2 linked regions of the Coturnix japonica genome follow. The protein of the gene in region 1 interacts with the protein of each later gene in a pairwise test. Links are inferred from orthologs where the notes say so. Each region holds a gene or a part of one and is shown in the gene's direction. Other genes may lie near its edges. The genes, in order: EXOSC10 and MPHOSPH6.

Evidence for each region.
Region 2: the proteins of EXOSC10 (region 1) and MPHOSPH6 interact in binary tests that used the Homo sapiens proteins (3 or more experiments, as listed by UniProt). The link is inferred for Coturnix japonica from reciprocal best matches to the Homo sapiens genes EXOSC10 and MPHOSPH6.

Annotation. Positions count from the first base shown.
Region 1 is NC_029536.1:3,559,611-3,564,056, reverse strand, and holds the start of EXOSC10 (exosome component 10), read left to right. Parts: upstream 1-1,456; 5' UTR 1,457-1,481; coding exon 1,482-1,643; intron 1,644-2,369; coding exon 2,370-2,506; intron 2,507-3,204; coding exon 3,205-3,328; intron 3,329-3,502; coding exon 3,503-3,607; intron 3,608-3,794; coding exon 3,795-3,960; intron 3,961-4,446. Other genes in the region: serine/threonine-protein kinase mTOR, read left to right, coding at 512-527. UniProt on the Homo sapiens protein: Catalytic component of the RNA exosome complex which has 3'->5' exoribonuclease activity and participates in a multitude of cellular RNA processing and degradation events.
Region 2 is NC_029526.1:14,006,707-14,011,308, reverse strand, and holds the start of MPHOSPH6 (M-phase phosphoprotein 6), read left to right. Parts: upstream 1-1,570; 5' UTR 1,571-1,672; coding exon 1,673-1,723; intron 1,724-4,113; coding exon 4,114-4,226; intron 4,227-4,602. UniProt on the Homo sapiens protein: RNA-binding protein that associates with the RNA exosome complex. Involved in the 3'-processing of the 7S pre-RNA to the mature 5.8S rRNA and play a role in recruiting the RNA exosome complex to pre-rRNA; this function may include C1D.

The DNA of each region.
Region 1 (4,446 bases):
TTGAGCAGAGGGAAAGCCAACAAAAACATTAGTTCTGGTGTATTTAGTTACGTATGGAAGCCTTACCACATGTTGCATATGAGCTCGTACATTTTGCAGGCTTATGGCAGAGATCCCTTAGACAGACCGTTGTAAGAATGTAAGTTGTGATAAGGAGTAATGGGAATGTAGAGCATTAAAGCTGCAGTCAACCTGAACACTTAGTGTTGGAAGTAAGGCATATGTTGGTCACTGATGTCAGTTACAGTGAAGATCTCCATATTCTGCAGCAAACATAAATGATTTAGTTGCACATTTGTCATTTGAGAGAGATAACATCAGACTATGCTTAAGGAAACAGTCCTTAGTTTTAAGCATTTAAGCTGTGTGTGGGGGGATCACCTGCCAACTTTTCCTATACTATTTCCTATACTATGTCTTCTAAACGGAGCCTTGGCAGTCTCAGTCCTTCTCAGCACTGCCTTTGTGAAGCTGCACTGAGCATCACCACCCTATTTTTGTTTCCTTTTAGGTGTCCTTTCTGGTAACAGAAGATCCCAAAGTATCCACAGCCTTTTTATTCTGGAGGCTTTTGCGCTCCAAACTTGCTCTTCTACAAACACAAACTGAACGTTGGACTGATATCCAGCCTTTGTCAAATAGTTTGAACTGTAAATGGAAAGAGTTATTGTATATTAACAAGTTGGTTTAAGCCAATTTATAGCTGCTATTGGAAAAAAAACACGAGCTGTCTGGAACACAATAGCTGATTTGGGTTTCCAAGGACAGTGAAGACTGATTGTACTGCAGGTGTCAATGGTTCCACTGGGTCTTTGGGGAACTGGTAAATATAACTATATACGGGTTTGGAATTACTTTGCAAAGTAAATGAATCATTTGCAGATGGATTGCTGCCCTGAATGGAATATTGGAGCAGATGTTAAGAATTTCAGACCTTCATCTGACCATAACCAGGTGCCTCTGTGCAGATCGAGCAGTGCAATGAGACACCGCTGGGGAGCTCTGTGTGCAGATTAAAAGGGGAACGTGATAACTGGCATAGGAGGCAAAAGGGGGAGAGCTGGTCATAACTTGAAATGAAATAATGGTTATAATAATAACATGGGAGTGGAGGAAGTCGTGAATTATGAATAAAAACAATGCACAAAATACAACAGAGTAGCCATGTTTAGATGCCATGTTGTATTTGGATATTTTTGTGCCAATAAATTACAGCAAAACGTGGCACCGTGGGGCTGCGTTCTTGTTTGTTCCTAAGTAGCTCTTAGGAAGAGACAGGGATGCAGGTAACAGGTTGCAGGAGGGGTCGCTTGGGGTGGGTGGGGGTCGCATGCAGCGCGGTCCGCCAGCCGCTAGGGGGCGCTATGTATAAGGCTTGGTACTGTCTACCCGCCCGCATGCGTTGCCCATCTCCCATCTTCCTCTCTCGGCCCTGAAGCTCTCGCGAGAGTTTCCGTGCGTCTGGTGGCTGAGGGGACAAGATGGCCGCCGCCGTGGCTGAGGGGAACGGCTGCGCGGTAGCGGGGAGCAGCGCGGCCCAAGGGGGCAAAGGGGGGCAGGGGGGACCGCCCGTGGAAACGGAAAGAGACGGGAGCACGGCCACGGTGCTGCCGGGATTCGACGACGTGGACGCCTTCGTGAAGGTGCGGGGCGGGGTGAAGCGGGAAGGGGCCGTGCACTACAGCTCCCGCCGGGCCGTGCGGTCACTCGGTGCCGTGATGTGGTTGGCATTGAAATAAAGCCCAGATCTGCGTCTGTGCTGATAAACCTCTCTCTAAACGTAAATCCTGGCACGACAGGCGTAGTGTTGTTATCGCTTTACTCTGTTTAACCTGATGAGATGGTGTGAATGAAACAACTGCCAACTTAGTCAATACCTGAAGGGAACTTACTCCCAGGAGGGGAGTAAACTCTTGGAAAGGGCTGATAATAGCAGGACACGGGGAAATGGTTTTAAGTTAAAAGAGGGAAGATTTAGGTTGGATGTTAGGGGGAAGTTCTTCACTAGGAGAGTGGTTAGGCCCTGGAACAGGCTGCCCAGGGAGGTTGTGGATGCCCCGTCCTTGGAGGTGTTCAAGACCAGGTTGGACGGGGCCCTGGGCAACCTGATCTAGTAAAGGTGTATGTTTGGTGGCCCTGCCAGGCAGGGGGGTTGGAACTACATGATCCTTGAGGTCCCTTCCAACCCGGGTCATTCTGTGATTCTGTGTGTGATTCTGTGATTAGTCGTGTTAAAAAACACCCAAACAAACCAAGGCCTTGCGATGTGTTGGATGTAACCGCACTGTTCGCACACACACAGGGATGGAGGTTTGTCAGCACAGTGTGCAGCAGGGCAGGCAATGCACTAACACGGTGTTCTCACACAGCACGCCCTCGGCACCATGGTGGCCACCACGAAGGCATCCAGCGGGCTGCCCCAGCCTGGCGATGAGTACGACTTCTACCGCAGCTTCCCTGGGTTCAGGGCGTACTGTGCAGCTCAGGGACATCGGCTGCTGCAATGGTAAGGAGACATCACAGCCCCGGCAACTGCCAGGCCCAGACAGGGGATTCTATGGAATCTCCAGGCTGGTTGGTGGTAAAAAGGATGTTTTAGGTCATGTGTCGAATTTTAGCTGAGTTGCCTTTAATGGTGTTGATGGGAACAAACTGCGAGTGGGGACTGTTGTGAAATGCTCTGGGAACAGCCGTTTAGTATCTAAAGGGGTATATAAGAAAAAAGGGGACAGATCTGATAGAACAAGAGGAATGAGTTTCAAACTAAAAGAGGGGAGATTTAGACTGGATATAACAAGGTTTTTTACTGTGAGAGTAATGAGGTGGTGATGCTCCATCTGTGGACACACTCAAAGTCAGGCTGGAAGGGGCTCTGAGCACCTGATGGAGCTGTGGGTGTCCTTGTTCATTGCAAGAAAGTTAGACTTGATGCCTTTAAAGGTCCCTCCCAAACAGTTCTGTGATCTAGAAAGTTGTTTCATAAAGAAATCAGTCCTATTAGTACTAAATAACTCTTAGCACCATGTAGGTGTTTCATACATTTGCTTTTTGTATGTTATTATAAGTATTACATTTGATCTGCTTTCAAACTTCTGCGATGTAGAAAGTTGAGAAGAATTGCATGGTTCAGTGTTCAGTTAATTGTTATTATTGTTGTTATTATTATTGTTTAAATCCATAATAACTGTGCTGTTCTCTTGCAAGCATGAGCAGGGTGATGCAGTACCACGGCTGCCGCAGCCACATGAAAGACCGCAGCAAAGTCACGGAGCTGGAAGATAAGTTTGATATGCTGGTTGACTCCAATGACATCATTCTTGAAAGAGTGGTGAGCAAATCATTCCTTAACATTACTTGTATAAGGTATTCAGGTACCACAAGTGCTTTTTGTTAAAATAATTCTACTGTTAGTGCTTTTGCAGTTATGTTTAATGTTTAGCATAGTACAGTAACTGAGCGGGTGTTTGATTTTCATTTTTGTTGTTTTTTTCCTGGAATTTAGGGTATTTTACTGGATGAAGCAGCAGGAGTGAACAAAAACCAGCAGCCTGTCCTTCCTGCTGGGTTGCAGGTGCCACAGACGATCGTTTCCAGCTGGAACCGCAAGGTGAGGCTGCTGCTCTTTTTCCCAGCACTGGTACTGCAGTTTGCCAGTGGATTTTAGTAGTTAAATGTTCCCTTGGACTTTTTCATATGTCCTCACTCACCTCCTTTTTCTCGCAGTACTGGGGTCAGTGAATGGAAGATGCTCTGGATGTCTGTTAAGTCATGTTGGTTTGCTTTCTTTTTAATAGGCAGGAGAATACCACAAAAGATCTAAGTCTGAAACCTTCCGACTGCTCCATGCCAAGAATATCTCTCGCCCACAGCTTAAGTTTCGAGAAAAGATTGACAATTCCAACACTCCCTTTGTACCTAAGCTTTTTATCAAGCCAAATGCTTTGAAACCATTGGCTGAAGGTAAGTTTTTTTGTTGTTGATGGGTAATCAGTTGAGAGTGTTTGACACAAATCTGTCCTGACAATCCAGAAGAGGAAATATTGACTGTAAAAGCAAGCAGGAGCAGATGTTGACTATTTGGATGAGATTGCTCTGTGACTCCATTGTTTATGTATGTGCAGTGTAAGATTTGGTCAGCATACAACATCTTTTTGTTGGTATACAGTAACTAATCTGTTCCCAACAGATATTCTGCTGCTTCTCTTTGCCACCATTGAATTTCCATGAGAGTCCCCCTGGCAGGAGGAGTTTTGTTGCTTGGTCTGTAAGTCTGCTTGACTTTACAGATACCTTTTCCTAATAAGTTAGAAAAGGAGATACACGATTAGATCTGCCTTTATCAAAGCTGCCAGTGAAACATCTCATCTCAGCAAGGTGTCACATTTCTGCTGCTGATTCACCTCGAGTCTGCACTGATGTGGATGTAGTTTAGAGCACGGGAATGAA
Region 2 (4,602 bases), on another chromosome or scaffold:
CAGGAGAGGGTGATGTGCAAGGAATGGGGAAAAGCTTTCACAAAGGGCACCACACAAACCAGGCACAGTAGCTGGAGACGTGCTGATGGGTGCAGAGTAATGTATTTAGAAAGAATCATTTGAAGTACATTTCCGGACTATAAATTAAGTGAAACTGCTCAGAAAATGCCCTGAGTGACATTGAAGGCCACACAATTAAATGCAAGGCTCCGACGTGCAATGATCAACAAAAAGCAAATGCACTATTAGAGCGCATGGAAAACAGAAAACAAGGCTAAAATGGGGAGCCAATGGAGGCACTGTGCTGTCATACAAACTAAAGGCGTTTGTTTGCTAAGATACAAACCCGCTTTGATGCACATTTGTGTTTGGAAAACTGCGAACTTTTTCCCAGCTTACTTTCTGTTGGAAAGGGTTGTAAACTCTTAATGATGAACAGGGGGGGTCAAATGAAGCGGGACAGATCCCGCAGTCACACAGACCTTCTCATTTGGGCCTTGAACTTCACGAGCACCTTCAGCTCATTTTCAGAGCCTGGAGATGAAGCTGCTTTGCTTATGTGGAAATTAAATACTTCTACCCAGCGTTATGGATTGCCCTTGAAGTGGACGTGGTTCATTTGTATTTGTGGTTATATTTACCCTCTGAGCTTAACTGTGTAGTAAAGATGCTTGGATACAGATTACTCCTCCTCTCTCTTTCCCACTGCAGTAACACTTTGCCCTTCATTGTACATCTTCGTGGACTCCATTAGAGCATAAATCTTCAGAAGCTCTTCAAGCTCACTCTGACCTACATCTCGCATAGACGGGAACTTTCCTTCCCAGATTGTCTTTCCAAGCACACTGGCTCATTACAGTTTTGAACACTGAACTCTCACTCGTATTACTTTACTGCCTGGTTTATGCGCCGAATGTCAAACCAGGCATCAGAAATCTGATTTATGAGGATATATACAGAAATTGTGGTGCTTGCTGGTGGCTGGGTGTCAGCTGGCAGCTCCTCATCAAGACTTCCCTATCAGGACAACAGGGCCCAGCCCGGCAGCCTAAAGATGGCATTGCTTAGTGTTAACTCCAATACCACCCACCCAGGAACAACAGAGCTGTGAAGGTTTTTGCAGTATCCTGAGATTTATTTGCTCTCCAGTTACAACCATATCTGACTACACAGTCAAGCAGAAGTCAATGCTTATTTATTTATTATTTTTTATTTAAAGATAGCTGAATAAATCAAGCAGTCTCCAATATGAGAAGGATTTTGTAACCTTTTCCTTTTACAGTTATAAACAGCTGAAAAATATGGATAAAATCATCAGACTACAGCATGCACAAGCACACATACATACAAACAAACAAACAAACAAACAACTTAGGTTTCTTCTATTAGTTCATCACTCCATCCCAATTTACACCCCTGCTCATGAGCGCACTCTCCCCCCACCCCGTTATATATCGGCTCCATCCAGCTCATCCTTCACACATCCCCAATGTATCCTTCTCCCTCTCCTCCCTCAGCCCCATGTTATGGGCTGTGCCCCCAGCAGCCGACCCGGAACGTGGAGGGTGGAGCCTCGCCTCCTCCTCCTCCCTCTCCTCCCCCAACGTGCGCGGCCGCGGCGCTACGCGAGCACGGGGATCCAGCGCGGCCTACGGGCAGCGCCGCGGCCGCCATGGCTGGGGAGGTGAAAACAAAGCTGTCCAAGAACCTCCTCCGCATGAAGGTAAGGTGCGGGGTGGCAAATAGGAGGCATGAAGGCCGGTCTGCGGGAACGGGAGGTAAAGGGAGGCCGGGCCGGGCTGCGGGGCTGCTGGGAGCGGATGGGGCGGGCCTGGCCCTCCGCTGGTATCTGGTGCCGTCTCGGTGCTGGGTTCGGGGTATTTCCACTTCTTACACCTCGGCACAAGGCTGCTGGTTTGGTATAGCACGTGTATTTAGTTCTGTCTTCTACAGTGAGCAGCCCCAGAGAGGGTTGGTTTGTTGTGTCCCTTGTCTTTATGTTCTTTGGACCACCTTTCAGCCTCCCCCCCTTCCCATAGATACACATATGCTGTTGGTGCTCCCTTGGCCAGCCCACCATGCTGTGCATCTCAGCTCAGGTGGATTTACAGGTTATGATTCTTGTTGTGTAATTCAGTGCCTCATCCTCCTGTGATGGCTGAATATTGATTGCTAAAAAGCATCTAGTAAAAGTTGGCTTACCTTTGTTGGCTTAGTTGACTTTCCTTTGAAGCAATATCCCATTATATTTTGATAACTTGGCCAGGCTGGATGTGGCACTGGGCAGCCTGGTCTGGTGGTTGGTGACCCTGCACACAGCAGGGGGGTTGAAATGAGACAATCGTTGTGATTATTTTCAACCCAGGCCATTCTATGTTTCTCTCTCAAGAGCAATTGAATGTTGGTCTTAGTTAAGCAGATATGCAGGAGAGGGCAAGACTCTGGATTGTGGCACTGCTGATCTTTTTCTCATTTTTATGCAATAATCACTTTTTAGGTGAAACTTGTGCAGCTGTTTTTTTACCACTTTTTAAATCCTCCATGGATTTCAAAAGGCAGATTCCTAGGTTTCCTTCAGGCAGTGGAAAACCAGTCCATGAATGTGGTGCCTTGACATTTTCAGGTTTAGAGTCCAGGCAGCAGCAACCAGCTTAAAAGGGGTGGGTAGGTTTTGAGAAGGCTCTACACAGATCTTGTACTCAGCTCTTCCCTTCTGCAGATCTTGCTGTTGACAAATGCTTTAATAATCTTTTAGCAGTTGCCTCTGCGGGTGTGGATGAGATGGATCATCACAATTCAGTGGGCACTCAAAGGTGGTACATGGTCAGACCTTTTCATGGAGATGCAGTGTATGTGCTCACCTCTTGATGTCGAAAGATGGCTCCTGCTTTTAGAATAACAGAGTTCATATGATTGTAAACTAGTTTTTGTACTGCTTGATCCAGCCAAATAGCCACCTGATTGCTGCAGTACATACCCTACATTTACCCCCACTGGTGTATTTTTAATTTATCCACATGTGTTTACAGATAAATACAATCACATTTTTAATCTATTTATTCTTGTAGTAATCTTTAGGAACATAATCTTTAAAATGTAATGTGAAATGATTATTTAATTGTGTGCTTGCAGCAGAATTTCTCCTGTTGAGGTTTCTGACTGGCTAACCAATCTCCTTGAGCAATATGGTTTTCCATATGATAGATTCCCTCATTTTCCTCAAGCAGATACTGTAATTTTAATTGGAAAGCTTTGACATATTTTGGGTTGACTCGAAAACAGAAGTCAATTTTTTCTTTCATTAAAGATCTCGTGCAAATGAATGCAAATAAAAATATAATGGAAAATGAGACGCACTGTGGTGGCTTTTATGATGGGGTTTGTTTTATTTTGACTGGGCTTTCTGTAAAGATGAGAAGGTGTGGGTGTTTATGTGATGTATATTGCACGCACGTATCACCTGTGTGCTCCAAATAAGCTCAGTAACGCAGGGTTTCTGTGGGAGACAAATGTTCTGTGATGGCTTCTTGGGTTCTGTCCCCAAGCCAAGTCCACTCTAACTGAACAAAACTGTGTCCAAGTCTCTGCTAATGTTCAAGAGACAGATGAGCCCCAGTGGTGTTATCTGTCAGCCTGCAGGCTTAGCTAAGCACGGAAATGATGCTGCTTATATGAGAGAGGTAAGATTCATTGATACAGGATTCCTCTGTGCTGTTGCACATACAGGTTTGTTTTGGTTGCCACAAAGCAATTTTTGTACATCAGTGTGTATTTGCAGTGCTGGTAGCATCTTGCTGCAAATTGTATCTGTGTGAATGGTGCCCTGCTGCCAGGTGCAGTTATTGAGGTGCTTTCTGTAGCCCCAAGGGAAGATCTCAGCTCATAGGGATGTCTTTGTATCCAAGTATGGATGTGGCTGTTGACTTGCAGTGGATGGTTGTGACCTGCAGTTGTTTGCTTCTGCTCTGTCTGTTCTCCCAAACACAGAGATCACAAAAAGCATGTATGGCTTATATCAACTGTTAAATAGTATGTAATGGATAATTGTTGTCGTGTAATCATTGCCTGCCAGAACACACTCAAAAAGCCTGAAGTTGTCTCTCTCTTTTTTAGTTCATGCAAAGGGGTTTGGACTCGCAAACTAAAAAACAACTCGATGAAGAGGAAAAGAAGATAATTAGTGATGAACACTGGTACCTTGATTTACCAGACCTAAAGGAGAAAGAGTAAGGCTTCTACTTTTGTATCTCTTATTACCATTGGATTGTTTTGTAGTGCAAACAGAATCTAATTGTTTTTCTTATCCAGGAGATATTACCAATTAAAATAACAGAAAAATAGTAGCAGACTGGGAGTACAGCTTTGTTTTTTTCAGAGACATTCTCAAGGTTAAATAATCCAGAGTTTGACCTACTTTCGTTTCTTCAAGCTTTGTTTTCTTTCACTCGCACTTTCTTCTAGATGCATGTAATTAGTTTCTTTCAGGCAGGGACAAATTGATTCATTGCTGCTTTTTCCCTTCATTGGAATAAAAGGTTTGAAACTTTGTATGAGTAACTTGAAATCCAGTCATGTGGTTGGGTCCATTCAGGACAGTTCCAT